Linked DNA regions of Neurospora crassa OR74A. The protein of the gene in region 4 purifies or fractionates together with the protein of the main gene of each other region. This does not show direct contact. Links are inferred from orthologs where the notes say so. Each region holds a gene or a part of one and is shown on either strand. Other genes may lie near its edges.

The links.
Region 1: the proteins of set-2 (region 4) and NCU01515 purify together in Saccharomyces cerevisiae (affinity purification with mass spectrometry; 7 studies listed by BioGRID, with this or other methods). This does not show direct contact. The link is inferred for Neurospora crassa OR74A from reciprocal best matches to the Saccharomyces cerevisiae genes SET2 and RPB3.
Region 2: the proteins of set-2 (region 4) and NCU08553 purify together in Saccharomyces cerevisiae (affinity purification with mass spectrometry; 3 studies listed by BioGRID). This does not show direct contact. The link is inferred for Neurospora crassa OR74A from reciprocal best matches to the Saccharomyces cerevisiae genes SET2 and RPB9.
Region 3: the proteins of set-2 (region 4) and NCU03782 purify together in Saccharomyces cerevisiae (affinity purification with mass spectrometry, with the first as the bait; 3 studies listed by BioGRID). This does not show direct contact. The link is inferred for Neurospora crassa OR74A from reciprocal best matches to the Saccharomyces cerevisiae genes SET2 and RPB11.

What each region holds. Positions count from the first base shown.
Region 1 is NC_026502.1:3,217,791-3,222,826, reverse strand, and holds NCU01515 (DNA-directed RNA polymerase II polypeptide), read right to left. Parts: upstream 3,016-5,036; 5' UTR 2,776-3,015; coding exon 2,710-2,775; intron 2,637-2,709; coding exon 2,071-2,636; intron 1,991-2,070; coding exon 1,609-1,990; 3' UTR 887-1,608; downstream 1-886. Other genes in the region: NCU01514 (mitochondrial dicarboxylate carrier), read left to right, coding at 1-212, 377-452; NCU01516 (mitochondrial co-chaperone GrpE), read left to right, coding at 3,582-3,854, 3,934-4,377. UniProt on the Saccharomyces cerevisiae protein: DNA-dependent RNA polymerase catalyzes the transcription of DNA into RNA using the four ribonucleoside triphosphates as substrates. Component of RNA polymerase II which synthesizes mRNA precursors and many functional non-coding RNAs.
Region 2 is NC_026503.1:4,947,669-4,952,831, reverse strand, and holds NCU08553 (DNA directed RNA polymerase II 15 kDa subunit), read right to left. Parts: upstream 3,057-5,163; 5' UTR 2,491-3,056; coding exon 2,233-2,490; intron 1,449-2,232; coding exon 1,359-1,448; intron 1,294-1,358; coding exon 1,249-1,293; 3' UTR 887-1,248; downstream 1-886. Other genes in the region: NCU08552 (mitochondrial 54S ribosomal protein YmL38/YmL34), read left to right, coding at 84-379; peptidyl-prolyl cis-trans isomerase ssp-1, read left to right, coding at 4,948-4,956, 5,025-5,163. UniProt on the Saccharomyces cerevisiae protein: DNA-dependent RNA polymerase catalyzes the transcription of DNA into RNA using the four ribonucleoside triphosphates as substrates. Component of RNA polymerase II which synthesizes mRNA precursors and many functional non-coding RNAs.
Region 3 is NC_026505.1:2,390,208-2,395,443, forward strand, and holds NCU03782 (DNA-directed RNA polymerase II subunit RPB11), read right to left. Parts: upstream 3,187-5,236; 5' UTR 2,803-3,186; coding exon 2,786-2,802; intron 1,927-2,785; coding exon 1,868-1,926; intron 1,745-1,867; coding exon 1,634-1,744; intron 1,493-1,633; coding exon 1,278-1,492; 3' UTR 839-1,277; downstream 1-838. Other genes in the region: NCU03781 (CobW domain-containing protein), read left to right, coding at 1-717; NCU03783 (transmembrane domain transporter), read right to left, coding at 4,011-4,193, 4,266-5,236. UniProt on the Saccharomyces cerevisiae protein: DNA-dependent RNA polymerase catalyzes the transcription of DNA into RNA using the four ribonucleoside triphosphates as substrates. Component of RNA polymerase II which synthesizes mRNA precursors and many functional non-coding RNAs.
Region 4 is NC_026503.1:3,238,529-3,241,926, reverse strand, and holds the end of set-2 (histone-lysine N-methyltransferase), read right to left. Parts: coding exon 2,603-3,398; intron 2,538-2,602; coding exon 1,686-2,537; 3' UTR 943-1,685; downstream 1-942. UniProt on the Saccharomyces cerevisiae protein: Histone methyltransferase that trimethylates histone H3 'Lys-36' forming H3K36me3. Involved in transcription elongation as well as in transcription repression.

The sequences.
Region 1 (5,036 bases), on a different chromosome or scaffold from region 4:
TTGGAGGATAACCTGGCGACGCACTTTAGCGCCAGTTTCCTGGCGGGCGTGGCGGCGGCGACGGTGACGAGCCCGATTGATGTGGTCAAGACGCGGGTCATGAGCGCGAGCGGGAAAAGTAGTATCGGGCAGGTGTTGGGGAGCTTGTATGCCCAGGAAGGGGTGAGGTGGATGTTTAAGGGATGGGTGCCGAGTTTTTTGAGGTTGGGGCCGTAAGTTGATTCCCTCCTTTTTTTTTTTTTTTTTTTTTTTTTTTTTTTTTTTTTTTTTTTTTTTTTTTTTTTTTTTTCTCTTTTTTTCCTTTGCCTTTATGGATGTGGTCTTCCGCGAAAGTTTCATGGATATGATTGTGCTAACGAGGTATTGACGCGGACAGACAAACGATTTGCACCTTCATCTTCTTGGAGGGCCATCGGAAGATGTACAAGAAGGTCAAGGGCATTGAGGAATGAGTTGTCATTTGCTCCTCTTCCTGGCTACCTACCTTTTCTAATCTCTCTTTCTTTCTTCACCTTTCCTCCCATGTCCAGTCTTGGGAGTCTGCTTCTTAGACGGACTAGCAGCAGCAACAGCGGGTTTTCAAATGCATTTCAATCAAAAAGTTTGTGGGTGGGGACATAATGGCCGGATTTGTATAGAGGAAATCTGCATTTTAGAGGCCGAGTGGTGGTCTTTCTGTCAGGACCTAGATGGCGATACCTCATGTTTTCTTGTTCATAGGTTTCCTTTGTTAGATGTTCCCTCATCCGTCAGGCATTGAAGCGGCGGTAGGGCTGTCATTTCGATGGTGTTTTGGCTTTATGTAGTCTTACCCTGGGAGTTTGGTGTTTCCTGCAGAGTTGTGTAAAGCAAATAGACCAGAGCAGCAAGTGCTTACTAGACTCCAGCAACCGGCGAGAATGGCATCTTGATTTTTTATGAACCTCGCACTTTCGAACCGTTTATGAATGTTTTTTTTGGGTATTTTGGTCCCCTATGTAGTCGCCAGACCATGGTAACTATATTCACCTTTTGTCTATACCTCGCAATTGTGCGATAGATCATTTGCAGGGTGCCAATAACAGAGAGAGCTGTCCTCGTTCCGCTGCCTAGTATATGTGGTGTCTGGACGAGGGACGCTCAAATAAGATATGCTCTGGTTCCTCTCGCCCTGACTTGAATCCCTTCAGAATGCGCCTCTCTCCTCTCCCCTAATGTCAAGATCCAGCTCCCAAAGTTCCTTTTCCCAGTTTCCCCCAAAATTGACCTTGACGTGGCGGCTCGTGCCTAGCGCCAAAAGTCCGATATTTGGCCCTGATCCGTTCCGTGGGCCTCAGCCACAAAGTGTGGTTGAGTTACGGTCCCCGCAGTAAGAGACGGAGGCGCCACGATTACTAAGTAGATGCTGAGCTGGTGGTGATGGCGCGAGTGTGTGTATAGGAATGCGAATCTCAATCTTGTTTGAATGGTAAAAGTGTTGTGTTGTTAATCGAAGTGCGCAGCTCGAACTCGCGCCGCAAAGATACCGCAGATACCCAAAACCTCCCGGAAAAGACAGGCGCAATGACCTCGCAAGCCATCAGGAGGAGTAATTGACGTCGCAAATCGTAAACTGTAAGCATATGATGCTCAAGACCAAGGGTTTTGGCCGCCTCCGTAGGGAGTCGCTCCGTAGGGCGTGGTACCTCCCTGACCTCCCCAAGAGCTCTGGTTTCCTCCGTTTCCATATGGCGTAAACGATCCTTGGTCGTTCCAGTTGTCGCCACCTTCGTTGTAGCCTGGGCTGCGCGGTCCGTTGTATCCGTTCTCACCACCATCGCTTTCGGTAAGTTCGTGGATCAGACCAGCCAACTTCTGCTGGATGACCTTGATGCCTTCAGTGACAATAGCATCAGGGGGAATAGGACCGGCGGTTTCGACGTTGTAGTAGAAGCGTTGTGGTACGGCATCGTAATCGAACGGTTCGCCCTCCTGGGGAGGCTCCTCCCAGTCGGCGTACTCCGAAGGAGGCCTGGAGAGAAAAACAAAATGGTGAGACATCGGTCACATCAAAGGGAATTGGAAAAAGTGAAGATGATGGAATGTACTTACCACTCCTTCTTAGGATCCTGCTCATACCACAAGTCGAGGTGGTGCAGCTTGTTGTGAGGATCGTACTCGAAGCCGATGGCGGCACTTGGGGCCCATTTGGAATGCTCCTTTGCAATACCCTTCTTCGCGATGCATTGGAGCTTGATCTCCTGACCGTGACGAAGCTTGAGGATGAGGGGACCTTGGCCTTCAGGATCATTGATGATAGGCGAGCCGAGAACTTGGTTGACGCGATCGCCGACTGGAACAAGATCGCGGGCACAGACTTGCATGATGTCGTCGCCAGTGCACTTGGCGTGAAGGTTGAGGGTCACACTGCAATGCTCGCAGTATTCGTCGCAGTCGCAGTCCCTAGAATACAGAAGCTGCTCGATACCTTCGGCGTTGAGTGGAATCAGGCCCAGGCGGTGGGCAATGAATTCGTCGGCCAAAACGGAGCTGTTGGCCTCGATCTCGACTAGATCGATGGCAATCGTGGGAATCTCGGCAAGCATGACGCGACGAAGGGAGTTGGCGAAGCTGAGCTCGGTGTTGGAGAGCTCAAACTTGACTCGGGTGTTGTCCGCCTAGAATGATGGTTTAGAACGATGAACGAGCAGCTGAGCGCAATTGCTGTGAGCAAGAGCACACAGAACATACTTGTGAGATCTTGACGACCGGTCCCAGGGACTCGGCGTCGTCCATCACCATCGGATCGTAATCCATCTTTGCGTGTTGACCGGCGGTCGGTCAGTTGTTCTCGCTACAGTCGGCAGTTCTCGATGGTACGTTTTGTGGTGTATGATAAAATTTGGATGCGGGGGGAGAAACGGTTCAGGAAGTTGTGGTTCGAGGCAGGGTGAGTTGCGGTTGAGGTGGCCTTTGTTGAGGGCCGGTTGATGCGAAATGCAAGTTGCGGACTGATTTCGGTTTCCGGCGCGTTGACGGGTCGAGGTTCGGAGGCGCCACCACCTATGGTAGGACTGAGTGCGGCCAGTCGCCAATCTTGCCTCTGGCTGAGGCCGCAGCGGGCAGACAAAGTGACCAGGATTAAGCTGGCCTTATCTTCACATGACCTGGCGTTGGCTAACTCCACGGCGTGTCTTTAACAGAGTAGGTAGGAGCAGCCAGGTCCATCTCGACTCCCCCGCACAAAAGAGCCCCGCCAGGCACACCCGGGGCGCTGAGGTGTCGAAGCTCCAATTGTCGATTTGAGCAAAACTCGATGGTCCGGCAGGCAATTCGTCGATTTTGGGCGGTCCGTTCATGACCCGCTTTTCGGTTCGCTCCCGCCCAGCCGGCCGACAGGATTGATGCAGCAGCAGCACCCACCCTCCCACCATCCCACTGTGGGAGACACTGCGAAGGCCCCTGTTGGCCGCCCAACCCGCCGCCCGTCCATGCCGTCTCCGTCCCGTGCTAGCGCAGCTGTCTCAAAATTTCTGAGAAAGTGCCTCTCTCAACACGCGACGCTTCCCTGTCTCTGACATCGCCACATCTCACCACCCGTCACATCCAGATACCCAGCCAACATGCTACGAACAGCCCTCACCCGCTCTTCCAGAGCCCTCTGCTCCGGCGCCCGCGTTGCCGCCCAGCGCCCTATTGCTTCCCAGATCTTCCAGATGCAAGCTGCCCGGACAGCTGCTCCCCAGCTGCGCTCCGCCGCCCGGTGGTACAGCGCCGAGGCTGAGGGTGAGAAGAAGGCCGACGAGGGCGCCGAGCAGAAGGAGGGTGAGACCGATGAAGTTGCTGCCCTCAAGAAGCAGCTCGAGGCCAAGGACGCCGAGGCCCGCGAGTGGAAGGTTGGTTCTTGAGCTTCAAAGCATATGCACATACAGCCATGATGGACAAGTCACTTACACGGGATGCCCCTCTCTACAGGACAAGTGCCTTCGCACCGTCGCCGACTTCCGCAACCTCCAGGAGCGCACCGCCCGCGACGTCAAGCAGGCCAAGGACTTTGCCATTCAAAAGTTCGCCAAGGACCTCGTTGAAAGCGTCGACAACTTCGAGCGCGCCTTGAGCGTGGTTCCTCAGGACAAGCTCAAGTCGGAGGAGCAGTCTGAGCACCTCAAGGACCTCGTCAACCTCTACGAGGGTCTCAAGATGACCGAGAGCATCCTCCTTTCGACCCTCAAGAAGCACGGTCTTGAGCGCATCGAACCTGAGGGTGAGGTCTTCAACCCCAACGAGCACGAGGCCACCTTCATGGCGCCCATGCCCGACAAGGAGCACAACGTCGTCTTCCACGTCCAGCAGAAGGGCTTCAAGCTCAACGGCCGCGTCCTTCGCCCTGCCCAGGTCGGCGTCGTCAAGAACAAATAAATGTCTCTTTCTGTTTCATCCAACAACCGGAAAAGGGCTACGGAGAGATTCTTGGCATGGGCTTAGCGGGGCAGGGCTTAGCAGGGCAGGATACCCTGAGATGTCATGTCATGACACGACATGAGAACAAGCCCCTGAAGAAAGGAATGTTCAATATATGGGGCTCAAGATATAGCCAGGGAAACCGAAAAAAGAAGATATAAAGAGGAAAAAGGGGCTCGACTGTAATAAGCCCCGTGTACAACATCCAACACAAAACGAATTGTATGCAACATATGCCCGCTTCCCCCGCGCGCAGGAACAAAAAACGGCGTTCACAGGTCTCTTTACAATCTCATGTATTATATAATGACCTCCTCTCTGGTTTTTAGGGTTTTGTTTTGACCAAGCATATATACCACGGCAACTAAAGCGTTGCTTGTGAAAGGGAATGGGCAAGCGGGCAAAAGGATATAAAAACGATTTTGGGCATACTTCAGATATACCGAACTACCTATTTACCAGGCATGCTACTGGCTACCTAACTCTTTCAAATTGTTGACTCCAACAACCAAGACATATCTTCCTTTCATCCCTTGCACTCGAGAACCATTGCACTGCACCAAAAGCAGTTCAGTACGTACCCGATCAGGGGTGTCTTGCACATGACTCAGTGAACT
Region 2 (5,163 bases), about 1.7 Mb from region 4:
CCCCTTCTTTCCCCCCTCTTGTCCCCCTCCCCCTTCTTTCCCCCCTTCTTTCCCCTCCTCATACCTCAACTAACAGAAGAAAGGCGACCGCATAGTAGTAGTCGTCCAAAAACAGCGCGGCGCCGACTCGGCCGGCATGGCCGCCTCTTCGGCCGCCACCAAGGTGAAGCGCGGCGACATCCGCCACGCCGTGGTAGTGCGCACCAAGCAAAAAGTCCAGCGCCGCGACGGTTCGGTCGTCCGGTTCGACGACAACGCCTGTGTCTTGATCAACAAGGCCGGCGACCCGATCGGATCGCGCATCAATGGTGTGGTGGGCCAGGAACTGCGAAAGAAAAAGTGGAGCAAGATATTGAGTATGGCGCCTATGCAGGCTTAGCTAGGCTTGATTGATCGATCAGGGAGGATATATGTACGATGGATGTAGCGGGAGAATCAAGATGGAATGAAATATGAATACCCGTAAAGAAAAAGAGTTGAGTTTGTTGGGGTGGGATGTGGCGTGACGCTCCTTGAAGTGAAGAGGAGTATGCTCGGTGGGATGTGTCATTGCGGTGACTTGGTGACTCTCGTGGGGGGTTTGGGTGTCGGCTCAGCTTGGGTTGGCTGTGTTGAGGTAATGACTGACGATGAGCGCTACGGAACATCACTTTGTTGATATCTGACGGAACTGTGGTTTGTGTGTCTACGGATTTCCAGGATGGACTTGGGATGGCCTGGCGTATACGGGTTTGAGACTGCGACGTTGTTCTCAAGGTACGACGGCTTCACACACCGGACATCACACCAAAATATGGTCTCATCGAACGGCCTTTCTTCAAGCGCCATTTTGGGTAACGATCAGCCAGCAGCAGCCGTCACATCAGTCGATTAGGTTTACCAGTCACTTCAGTTCGGGACATCAAGCGTGCCGTCCTAATCTGTGTATACTACTGTACATTACATGTCATGTCAAGCAAAACAACATCACCATTGCATATCACACGAAACAGTTTATAACGTTATCCACGAGATTCATGGAAAGACCATTTCTAAACCAGTGTCCTGCCAAAGCATGAAAAAGAAAACCAAACGCCCTAAACCGCGGTCCTTTTGAGTTAACCGTGTACAAACGCCACTGTAATGCAACTCATCATGACCCCCTGATCTTTATTAATCAACCTGTGATTTTTTCCGACCGCCCGCCTGTCCGCCTATAACAAGGATCGATCTGGCCCTATTCCTTCCGAGTGAAGAGTGAATCCCCCACTACTGGTAAATATTACCACAATCGCAGCAGACGTAGAAAAGTTTCTGAAAGTAACGTTGTTAACCCATGACTCTGGTGAGCCCCTCCCAGGCAGGTGAGTGAGTCTTACCATTCCGGTTTCCGAAGTACGCTGCTGTGACTGGAAGAAGACAGCTTCCGGGTGGTGGCAGGCAGGGCATTCCTTGATGGCTCTTGGGAGCTAGATAGCAAACGAAAGAAGAAAAAGAAGAGATTAGTCTCGATGCAAGCCAGAGCAAATGACAAGAACAAGCCAAATCCAGGTCATCGCCTCGCGGACCAGACCCCGCCACCAGACGGACGGAGACTTTTGGGTATGCGCTGTGCTATGCTATGCCGTGCTGTGTGCCAGTCGTGTCGTGTGTCGGGTGCTGTAATCCCGAAGGTGGGCGAACAACCGCGCCGCCATGATTATAGATGTATTATAATCCTGATGTAATGGGTATGCCGTAACCGTAATCGCTGTGACCGTAAAATCAAAAAGTCGTAACCTCGTGAGAGCGGGAGATGCGTCGTCTGCCGGTCATGTCCTAAGCTGCCGGGACTTGAACAGGCAGTTGGCTTGATGCCGCCAACTCCGTGTCGGTGTCGTCGAGCTCCATGTTTTCAGACTCGATGGAGTCCTCCTCTTCTTCGTAGTCCTCAAAGGCGACCAAGTTGTAAAAGTACTCTTCGGCACGGACCCTGCCCATGGCCTCCCTCTCGCTGCTGTTGGAAGCCCAGACATGACTGTTATCGCTCATGTCGATCGTGGTGGCGGCCATCTGGTCGTACAGGGACTCGCAATCGCTGCCGGCTTCGGAGTCGGAGGGAGGGGCGGCAAAGTGGTTCGAACACAGCTCGATGACGCCACAGCACTGGCAGTAGATGTAGGTCGAACCGTCGGCGGGTCGGGGCAAGGTCGACGCAGGCGAGGCGACACCATCACCAACAGCAGCAGAAGAAACAGAAGAGACAACACCCACCGTGGGATCAGAGGCGACATCCTGCGTGACACCAGCCGTCTCGCCGGCAGCGTTGTTGAGGATGTTGCGGTAGATGCACGTCGACGTGGCGGGCTCGGAAAAGTTGCAGGTGCGGCAGGTGAAGAGCAGCTTGTTCTCGTCCTCGGCCTCGCGGGGGTACAGCATGTTGCTGCATTCGGAGCAGAAGCGGAACGTGATCTGCTCAAGGGGCTTCTTCTCCTTGGCGCCACCGGTGCTAGAAGGGGCGGGCGACGACATTTTGGTTGATATGTGTTGTGTGTGTTTTGTGTGTGTATTTGTGTGTGTGGGTGTAATAATAGTTGAAAGAGAAGGCGAAAGGAAGCAGAAAGGTTGTTGTGCCCGTTCCTTTGTGTGGGTGTGTGTTGATGGTGGTTGGTGTTGTTGGGTGAATGGTAGAAATGGATGGATGGATGGATGGATGGACGGATCGCTAATTGAATGCTTGACGATCCCAAGGATGGGCTTGGTTGGCTTTCCTTGTCGGGTGGCGGAAGGATGCAAAAAACTGCTAGTGTAGTGTAGTCAAGTGGAAGTTGAATACTAAGTAGTAGTAAGCTAGTAACAGCAATTGGATCTGATACTTGTCAGCAGTTCAGAGTTAGGTGTTGCTAAAGAGGAAGAAGTTCGTCCGTGGGAAAATGAGAGTCCCAAGATGATTTTAAAAGATGGTGGAAAGAGCCGGAGGTGGAAAATGGAAAATGGAAAATGGAAAATAAAAAAGGCACTGCAGGTGAAGTGGAAGGCCAGCCGAGGAAATGACCAAGAAAGGCGTGGGTGAGGCACGACAACTCCCTCCCACCGACTGCAATGAGTGCTGTGCTGCAGTGAGCAGTCACGTTCGGTCGGGGAGGGATCCATCCAAGTGTCCAGGTGCCAACTGTAATTGCCCTGCCGGCCGGAGCAAAACAGCCCTGGGACCTTGGAAAATCGGGGCCCAAGGAGGGTGACAAGGATGGCTGCCACTGCCAAACCCCTTCACCGCCTTGCCGCTTTGGGTGAAGTCACGGTCAGGGGCAGAACACTGGACAGGCGGGACTCCAGGCTGCAAGTAACAGGCCAGTCAGACCGAAAAGTGTTGCTTGTTGCAGACCATTATTTGGCAAAGCCTCGATTTGGATGCCCGGTTTCGCATGAGCCATGATTCGTTGTGTTTTTATTGCCGACGGAGACCCGAGTGTATCAAACCGCCTCGATCCAAACTTGTCAAGTTCAATTCACTGGAGCGCCATGCATGCTTCCCTCCCCAAAGTGTCTTGTTCTTGGTGTCCTGTCTCGAGTAAACGGGCGAGGACAAGACGCAGTCAACAGGGACCGATACACCATTACAGCGCATCAGGGGCTTCAGGTCTCACACAAAATGACAAGAGAGTACACACTACTGGAATCCACAACGACGTCATGGAGTTGACCACGAGCACCTGTCTGTTAAATGTCATGAGGCTTCAGAGGGGATGGACGCCTTTGTAAATATTTATCATCGTATGTAATATGGATAGTCTTTTGTTGAAAAATTCATCTCGATGTGCCAAATCCTCTCTCTCCTCCCGCCCACCCGTGACCCCAATATTCAAGGGCACAGCAAGTCCGTGTGTGGCACCCACTCTATGCACGGAGAATCACGAGGCCCCAAGGAACTGTTGCGTGGGGTGTCCCGATGCAGCAGCAACTGACGACGGATCGAGAAAGTGTGGATGGCTCATGAGAGGGCGACGAGGATCATGGTGCTCATCCGATGCTACACAGCACACGACCGGGCTGCAGGTTCGCAGCTTTGGTTCCTGTTGTCGAGAACCAACGGGCCGGTACTTCAAGTCTTTCATGTTTGGTGAGGTGTGACCTTTTTGATGAAAACAAAGTATAAAAAACCAGCATGAATTGTTAGTACAACTGGTATCAGTTCAAGTGGCTTCCATAACTCAACCTAATTCATCTCAAATAGAGAACTAAATGAGGCCATCAAGGTGATAAAGAATACTAGAGGTAAGCAAGCAGCCTCAAGCTGACCAAGCAACAACTCGGAGGATGGCAGTGGCACCCACACGAGGACATGTCGACAAGGACAAGAACCTGCTGGGCTTGCCACACCATCCCACTAACAAGATGGTGCCCCTGACAGCTCCGTCCCCGCGAACGAATCCCCAATCGCGGAAAACACAACGGGCGGTACTATGGTACCTATGTACCTGTCCCCTTGCCCGACCCCGCTCCCCCAGAGAAAGTCCCCGCTTTTTGTGCCTTGTGAGGTGTGGAGCCGCCGACAAGCTGACGTCCCTGACGACGGAGAGCTCCATTGCCTAGAACCGGGAGAGTCTTGGCCGGAGTGGTGCTGGATGTTTCTCTGCCTGTTCCTCCTTCCCCCCCCGCCGTTGCCAGGTGATCTAAAAAGTTCAATTCTCCCTTTGTCAATTTCTCCTTCTGTTTTCCATCTCTCCTTTTTGTAGTCGCTTTCTAATTCTCATTGTCGAAGCTCTACCGGCGCAACTCAAGGTACGTCACCATGCCCCTCGCTGGTTGATCACGCGAGTCGCAATTGCGCCTGAACCTCCTTCTCCCCGTTGACATCGCGACCGCCACAAGGCTATCCGCCTACAGTACTCGAGGACTAAGCTACTTACTGACCGCGAACCGCATCGTGCTCTCACAGAACCGACCTACGAACCAATCACCACTACAACCACCACCAAAACCGTCATAATGTCCAACGCAAGTCAACCCACCACTCGCAACATCCAGAACAACAGAGCTGACCCCCCCCCTTCCCCCCTTCCCAGACCATCGAGACCGGTCTCCCCGAAGACTGGGAAGTCCGCCACTCGCAATCCAAGAACCTGCCCTACTACTTCAACAGCGCCACCAAGACCTCTCGCTGGGAGCCACCCTCGGGCACCGACGTCGACAAGCTCAAGATCT
Region 3 (5,236 bases), on a different chromosome or scaffold from region 4:
TATACGGCGCGGATTCAGGCGCGGTATACGGATCTGATTGTGTTTAACAAGTGGGAAGGGGCGGGGGAGAGGAGGTTTGACGAGGTTTTGGATAGGGTGGGAGATTTGGAGGTGGACACAGCGTGGGTGAAGAGTGATAAGGGGTGGGTGGATATGTCGGTGGTGTTTGGGATTGATGGGGGGTTGGCGAGGGGTCTTACGGAAGAGGATGGGCATGTTCACGATGACAAGTGTGGACATGACGATAAGCATAAGCATGATCATCAGACGGAGGTGGAGGTGTTGAGTATTGAGCTTAAGAGCGGCAACAGAGAAGCGACGGTGGATGCGACGAAGCTGTTGGCTTTCTTGAGGAAAACGAACAAGGACGAGGTGTACAGGATCAAAGCCGTGTTGGCGGTTTCTGCGAAAACTGCGCGGGAGGTGCTGAAGAATTCGGATGAGGATACCAAGGTTCCAGTACCACCTACGTCCGCGGGAAGCGAAGCTCAAACGACGAGGTATATCCTCAACTGGGCGTTTGGAAGGTGGACGTTTACACCTGTTGCGGCTGAAGTCAAGGAGCACGAATCCAGCAGTGAGGCGATACTGAGGATGACCATGATTCTGGCCAGGTATGAGAGCACCAAGTGGAAGAAGAGACTGGAGGCTGGTGGGTTGTTGGAGCTTGAAGAGGAGAATGGGAAGGGCGAGTTGAGCGTTACCAAGGTCAACTAGAGAGCGGCACGTTTGATAGACGAGGAGCTATGGATTATGTATGAACGAACAATAAGACTTCGGGATAGAATAGAGCGCACCTGATGGGAGCAAATAGAAGCAGACGTCCCAAAGACATATTGACAAACTTCTTAAAAATTCAACATCCACTCCTCGCATACTCTCACCACAAGACACCTTGAACAAATCTATGGTTCCCATTCTGCCCTAGCATTGAGCGAGTAAACGGAGAGATCTGTCAAAACCCCTTATTTTCCATATCCCATGCATGTCTTGATCATTAACGCCTGCAAAGAGACTGACTGAAAAGCATCCTCAAAGAAAATCCCTAAACGCCGTTTTTGAATGACGACCGATCCGATCAACAAAACAGCAAAGATAATGAGCTAATCATGTTTTCACCGTCCATGCCACCATCGCATCTCTTTTCCCACCCCCCCAATTCAGCATCGGACGACCTTCGTAAACTTTCCTCCGGCAGTCAAGTAAAGTAAAGTAAAGGCGTGTCGGGAGTAGAGTAAACACCGCGAACAACCCCGTTAAGGCGGGCATCGATTCGATCAGTAATGACCGCCATTAGCGCCGCCGTTCACGCCGCCTCCCTGCTCGCCCTGGTCAGCATACTGGCGCAGGGCAAGCTCCTTCTGGAACTCGCGGCCCAATTGGCCGTACATGGCCACGAGCTGCTTGCACGCGCCAACGAGAGCCTCGCGCGGGGTGATGCTTCCGTCTGTCTGGATACGGATGAAGAGTTCCGGCACGTTAGGGTGGGCAACTAATAATTACGTGTCAGTCAGTTTCTGTTTATCTCGCCATGGGTGGTGGTGGTGGTGGTGGTGAGGGTTTGTGTGGGGAGGGGGGGTAAAGAGAAGAAAAGTAAAAGTGAAGTAAGACGCGGCGGTACGACGTGACGTACTCTTGTATCCTGCCATCAAGACATGAGGGGCCTGCTTCAGATGTTCGGCGAGGAGGTTGCCGAGGGTGTGGTCCTCCTTGAGAATCTTGAAGTCGGAGGTGTTCGACATGCCTATCCAAGTAATGGAAAAAAAAATCGGGGTCAGTTTTCTTGCCATTTCCTTCTTCTACTATTTCTTCTTCTCCCCACGTATCACCTCATTATCAAGAAGATGAGGAGATCGACTCGACTCACCAGTGAAAACCTTCTCCTCAATCTTCTTCTCTCCATCCTGGAGAAGGAAGAGCTCGAACCTGGTTGTTTTTGGAAGCAAATGTCAGTAATGTTTTCCTACTACCCAAAAGTGAGGTAATGATGAGAGTATAAACGGAAAGAAGAAGGCGGACCGGTTCGGCTCGCTGTTTTGCTTGGGATTGGCTCCGCTCATCTTGTTGATCTTGGTCCTGTTCGCTGTTGCCAGGTGACGAGGAGGGCATGGAATCAATATCCTTCTTGTCGTGATGGACTGTGTGCTAGTCCAAAGGGATGTTGGTTTGACGAAGGGTTTAAGTGGTGTATGAGGAGGAAGTCGTCCGCCTTTTATATCGTTGACAGCCAGCGACTCTCCATCCAGATTGAGTTTGGTCAAGGTGAATCCGTGGTAGACAAGTTACCCACCAACTCCCAGATCGCTAGTCTCCCAGCTGCCTCGCCTGCCTGTTGCCTTCCATTTGCGTCCATGGTCCATGATCAGATGAAAGCCGTCCCGTTTGTTTCGCGTTCAAAACAATAGGCACCTGGCACCAGCAACCAGACAAACACCGCCTACCGGAGGGGAAGATTGAACCAAGCTCGTAGACCATGAAGGATAGACACGTAAGGCTAAGAACTGGGGCGGACTATTCGAGTGTCTGCCTGTCCGTCCAGGTCGATTTGTTCCATTGTCGTACTGAGATGAGTTGACATTGCGGTTCCAGTCGACACCGGCATGTGACATAATGACTTTTGACATAGTCGTTATGATTCCTTGTCGAACGCCCTCAAGAGATTTAAGGCAACCCAGGTCGAGTGTTTCCGGCATTTGCGTGAGGCGCGTCGTCCAGGGCAGAAGGAAGAGGGGGGTTGGTTTCTCCATGTGGAAAGAAACCAGCAAGAAGAGAAGATTCTACTAACCTATCAGGGGCGTTCATTTTGGCGATTGGCTAACGATATGACGTAGAGCTCGTTGTTGGTTATCGGTGGTGTATAAACGATTGTCGTCGTCGCCCGATATCGTGAATTTGCGATATGGTGTTGAGGTTGAGACCGGGGGGTGACGATGTCAACTGCTCAAGAACGTCGAGTGGTTGATGTAGCAATTGTGTAGATTCGCTCTTATGGCGGGACCGGGGGAACGTAGGAATTTCGATACCCAAAATTGGAGCGTGAATGGGACAGACTACCAAAGGTTTCAGTCGCTCAGGTTTTGATACTGCTCGTCAGCTGGTGAAGGTTTTGATCTTGGTGAAGGGGGTGGGATGTTTTAACACAAGTGAACGCACTTGATCGATGTCTTCGAGGTCGTCCAGGTTGCGCATCCACTGTGAGATGGGGGCAACGCAGTTGGAGCACTGAACTCCGGATCAAGGTACGTGTGGTCTGTGCGCTCAGTTATTTCAGCGCCATCCCGCTTTTGGATGACTCGGTCCGCTGGGCTGTATACATACATGCTTGCAAGGGAGGGTTAGGGTTCAACAAAGAAAGAAAGCAGTGAGCTTGCTTGTTGGCGAAGCAGACGACGGCGACACACTGTGGGGAAGGAACTCTTTCCAACCATGAAATGAGGATGGTAGTATGCAAAGAGTAAACCGATATATGGAAGGTCATCGTAGCTACCACACTGTTCGCTCGAACACTGTTTGCAATGGGAGAGAAAGGCCGCCCCTCAAAGAGTCAGAGATTGTAGAGACTGCTAGGGAGAATAAACCCAGTAATGACACGTCAAAACAACAGTAAAATGACATCGACACCATAGACGTACAATGGGGAAAATGCCAGACTAATCAATTTATTCAAAAGTCAAACTATTCTCGCTCCATCGTTATGGTAACGAGCTTCTTCAAACAAACAGGGAAACGCTTCCCTCACGATGCAATACAAACTCTAGACATGCTTCTCGGCAACAGATTGCTCACTCCCATCAAGTCTACAGTGTAGTCCATCCCACAATCATCTAGTCATAACCCATATGTCTTGCTCTCATCATGTCGACCCCTATCCCATGATTTCCTTTCATTCTATACAACCATAATCATATCGTCGGATCCATTGTTCTTGATAAACCCCAACGCTCGTCCCATATAATCAAGAGGATACTCATGACTCATTCCGTGATCAATACGTACACGTTTGCACGCCTTTACGGGTTCAATCCCTTAGCATCGCAATAGCCAGGCGATTCTCCGCCCTCTCCAGCGCCGGCCCAGCTCATGACAGTCAAGGTAGTCGTGTACGCCATGGCAATGAAGCCAAAGACGCACAGGGCAACATCCGAGAATTTCCAGAGAGCGCTTCTGGCGACGCCCCTGTAGTGCAGCATCGGCTGTTTGTGACTGTGTTAGCGTCTGATTGATCATCTACACAAGAAGGAGCAAGGGTACGTAGCAAAACTCACCGGATAGATATACACCAACGGGATGCAAGCAAAGTTACCGACCAGTGCGACGAACTTGTCCAAGTTATCGGCACCCGCCCATGCAACCATGGCGCAGAAAGCGACGACAAAGAAGCGGAACACGTTCTTCTGCCACTTGATATACGGATTGTACTTTCCGCTCTTCGTGAAGAGTGCATTCTCCGTGATCCTGATGGCGGGGAAGATCTGCAGTGGGGTCGAAAGCAGGATGGCGAGCGAGTAGAGGAACTGCACGCCGTTGACCATTTTGTTGTCCTGGGGCAAGTTGAGGAGCACGACTGTCTCGGTCTTGGAGCCGTAGGCGGCATAGGAGACGGCGCCCATAACGGTGAACAAAGTGGTGATGATGATCATGACGACGGCCATCACCTTGGGGAACTTCTCCGGGTTTCTCATGGACTCCTGGATCGGGATGATGAGGCCGATGCCCTCAAAGGTAAAAATGGCGGTGCCGATGAAAAGGGTCCAGTCCTTCTGGTTGAACATGATGATGTCGGCCAGGCCCGAGGTGTTGAGAGTCAGGACGTCGTAGTAGAAGAGGTAGGCCAGACCGATGACGATGAAGGCGTCAGCAATAAGCGCAGTGAATCCCAATTTGCCAATATCACGCAGCAGCGAGAACGGCAGGAAGATGATCATTTGCATGATAATCAGCCATGATATAGAGATGTAGGTCTTGCAATTGGTGACGGCAAGGATGAATGCTTGCAAGTTCTCCGACGTGAAGACGATGTAAGCCGCCACGAAACCCAGTTGACTGATGACGATGGAGAAGAGAATCAGGTTTCGCATCCACTTGCCATAGAGAATACCACCAATGTCACCAAAGGATCCTTCCACCTTGAGGCGAGTGGAGACGAGGAGAACAAAGCAGTAGTAGCTCAGAGCCGCCACGAAGAGGAGCACGGCGTTACTAAAGACCATGCCGCCGTTGAGGTAGGCTCTGGGGA
Region 4 (3,398 bases):
TCTACTCATGAGAGAATATTTTCTAGATTCCATGTTATCAAACAGCGGTATATTCCCTCGTTCAACCCACATCACATCCCCAATCGCCGTGAGTACAACGAAATGGCAAGCGTATCGATGTCTCCCTCTCTCTCTAGCTTATTATATCCCCCCAGTTCGCCAAACGGAGTCCAAGTTTCCCACTATGTCTTTTATCTCTTTCCTACTTATCTTCTGCCATGTGCCTTTTCGCACCAGTTTGCACTCGCCCGTCTGTCCAGTTCCAGTCCGGCTGCCTGTTTACCACTTTGCTTGCTTGCTTGCTGGCTCGCTTGCTTGCCCCTAATGAAGAGCAAAACAATAACAATGAATACCATGAGAAACCCAAACCGCAAGTGATGAAAACAACAATGCCATGCGATAGATTTCCACAAGGAACTACTACTGTGTACATATATAGGCAAGATCAAAAACGCGAACGAACGCCTTTGTTTCTCATCTCACTCCGGGTACTTCCCAAAAAAAATAAAAAAAATAATAATAAAAAAATAATAATAAACGCCGTTGCCGATTAATGCTTTTTCCATATCTCCGATTCCCATTTTGTTTTTGAGACCTAACGCCTTAAAAAGAGAAAGAGAAAGAGAGCAACGAAAAAGAAAAGAAAAGAAAAGAAAAAGGGAGAGGGAAAGGAGTTGGTGAGACAAAGAGGGAGCTCTGTATGAGTTTGAAACAAGCAACCAAGTAGGCATCTGCCACCCAGGTCCACTGTAGCCACACGTCTGCTATTGGCAGATATCTTCACTGTGAAGTCCACCTGTATCATGGTTCCTGTAGATATACTTTTTTTCAACACCAGCTCCTCCAGCGATCAGCTGCCAGAAGCTGCCCGGCCGTTTGGGATGTAGCGAGGATGGATGTATCTGCTATCATTTGTGTGTGTGTGTGTGTGTCAATCCACCACCACCACCGCCACCACCACCAGCAGTGTCGCCACCACCATCACGACCACGTCCGTTGTCAAAATGCGGTATTGCGTTCTCTACCAATAAAAAAAATTCCTCCAAGGCAATACAAGGGGGCAGGTGCGTGTGTGTCCATGACTGAAAAGTCAGCCAGCAATACTGGTACCCCTCGTCCACCAATTATAGTAGCCTACCGCCTATATGTTGATGACTGTCGAATTGTCCCCAGCACCGGCACATCCATCACCCAATCCGTCATCGATCTAGACCTGAATATAAAGATAAACTTGTTGCTGATGAAAGTGGAACATCGTAGGAAAGCAATAACAAGAGTCCATGCCTGTCTGTCTGTTCGTCCACCTTTCCTCGGACATTAGACGTGCTGAGAATGATAACTCAGGAAACCATCAACCCTTTGGACCGTGTACCGACCGATTTTGGATATATGACCAACCGACCAACCGACCCACCAACATGAACCGGATAAACGAGTACCCACCAAACCAACCACTTTTCTAATGCCAACCAGCCAACAATGATTCCAGGGCGGTTAGGCGGTAACCTTTTCATGCAACGAACCGATAAGGAAAGAGCCATTCAAGCATTTCCCTTGAACTGTGCCTCTCTGTCCATGATTTGCTTTCAACAACCATTGGACTCTTTTCCACACACCCGGAAGAAGAAAGAAAGAAGAAAGATAAAAAAAAAAAAAAGGAAAGAAAAAGAACTTATAAAAGATAGCTAACGACTGACGGGCTCCTGTTGTGCCATTTGCTCATGACTCTTCTCATCACGACCAGCGTCCATCCCATTCTCATCGGAAACAGCAGGTGATGCCTCTGAGGTATGGTGGGCCTTGGTCCCATTTACTCCGTTCACCTTGCTGGTCGCGACAGCCGCTCCCTGAACAGTAACACTCACCCGGCGCTCGGCCTCCTCGTCCTCCAGCCTCTGCGCTTCTTCGTTCTCCCTCATTAAGGCCTCCTCTTGCTCGCGCATTGATCGCTCCTCTTCGGTGAGTGGAGTATCTGTCGGCGGCGGCGGAGGGGGCGGAGGGCTGGGGATCGAGTCTTCGGTTGTCGAGTCCTCCTTGGCTCGCTTCGGTGAAGGTATCGCTTCGGATGCCGGCGCCGGAACCTCTTGCTCTTCCGCACGCTTCCTCTTGCGGTCTGAGCTGGAGGTGGCAGGAGTATTCTCGCCCTCATCCTCCACGTCTGTAAGGACAATATCGCCATCGGCGTCGGGCTGCTGGGTCTTGACGGTGGCATTGCTGGCGCCGTTACGGCCAAGTGGTGACTTGGCTGAACCGCCGTTGGTAGGCGATGGGGCGCCGGAAGATGATGGCCCGGCTTTCTGTGCAGCGCGCTGCTCGTTTTCCCTGTGCTTGACCACAGCACGATCAAAGAAGTCCTTGACAAATTTCTTGATCTTCCTTGCCTGGTTGGAGGAAATGGTCGTAGGGTCATCGACACGGTGGTTCTTGTAGTCGGAAGCAACCAGTTTCTTGTTGATCTCACGGCCAAACCGCTTGAGGTCTTCCTTGGGAAGTCTTCGGTGAAACTTGTCCATGACGTATTTCACATGAGGAAAGAGCTGAAAGTACTTTGTTTAGCGTCACCGCAATAGGAGGGGCAGTTGGCTTCCGGGATTGGACATACCGTGTTTTCGTAAATCTTCATCTGTTTCTCAACCGGAAGAGACCTCCACTTCTCCTTCTTACCATTGTCTGGCACGGGTGTGTTAGATTTAGGGGTTTGGTTCGCAGAATGGCGGGGCGTCGGCTCCTTGGTCAAACTGTCGATGATATCCTGCAGAGCCTTTTGGTTTTGTTCCACCTTGGCAGAGGGCTTGGGCACGTCGACAGCAGGCGTTGTAGGTCGCTGCCACTGGGTATGGCCGCTCTTGTCGTAAAAGTAGTATTTGCCTGTGCTGTCAGTGGTGACAAACCATCCTGCAGGAAGATTCGTTGGAAGCTTGCGTGGTCTCTGGTTGTTGAAGTAGTTCATGTTCCGTTGGGGAATGTTGCTGCGGGGACCCGTGGGCACAACCATGTTCTCGAACGGATTGACAGGTCTTGAGGGATGCTCCTCATGATTGACGTTGCGGCGGTCATCCTCAAACGAATTTGTGGTTACGGGAGCGGAGGGGTCGAGCTTCTTGCGCGGGATGCGATAGGCTGTCTCCAATTTGCTCCATTCCTGAAGCAATCGTTTGGACTGCGACGCGACATCCTCATGGTCGGAATGGGTGAGGGGCTCGACGGCGGCTTCGATGTTGGAATCGGTAATCTTGTTCTTGGTGATGCGGGGGAGTTGGTACAGGATATCGAGAATCTGCAGTACGACATTGGTGTCTTCCTTAAAGGTGTTGAGGGTTGTCTTCAAAATCTGGTATCCGTGCATCTTAACAACCCGGTTCCGGACATGGTCATCGTCGGCATTCTGAAGGCGGCCG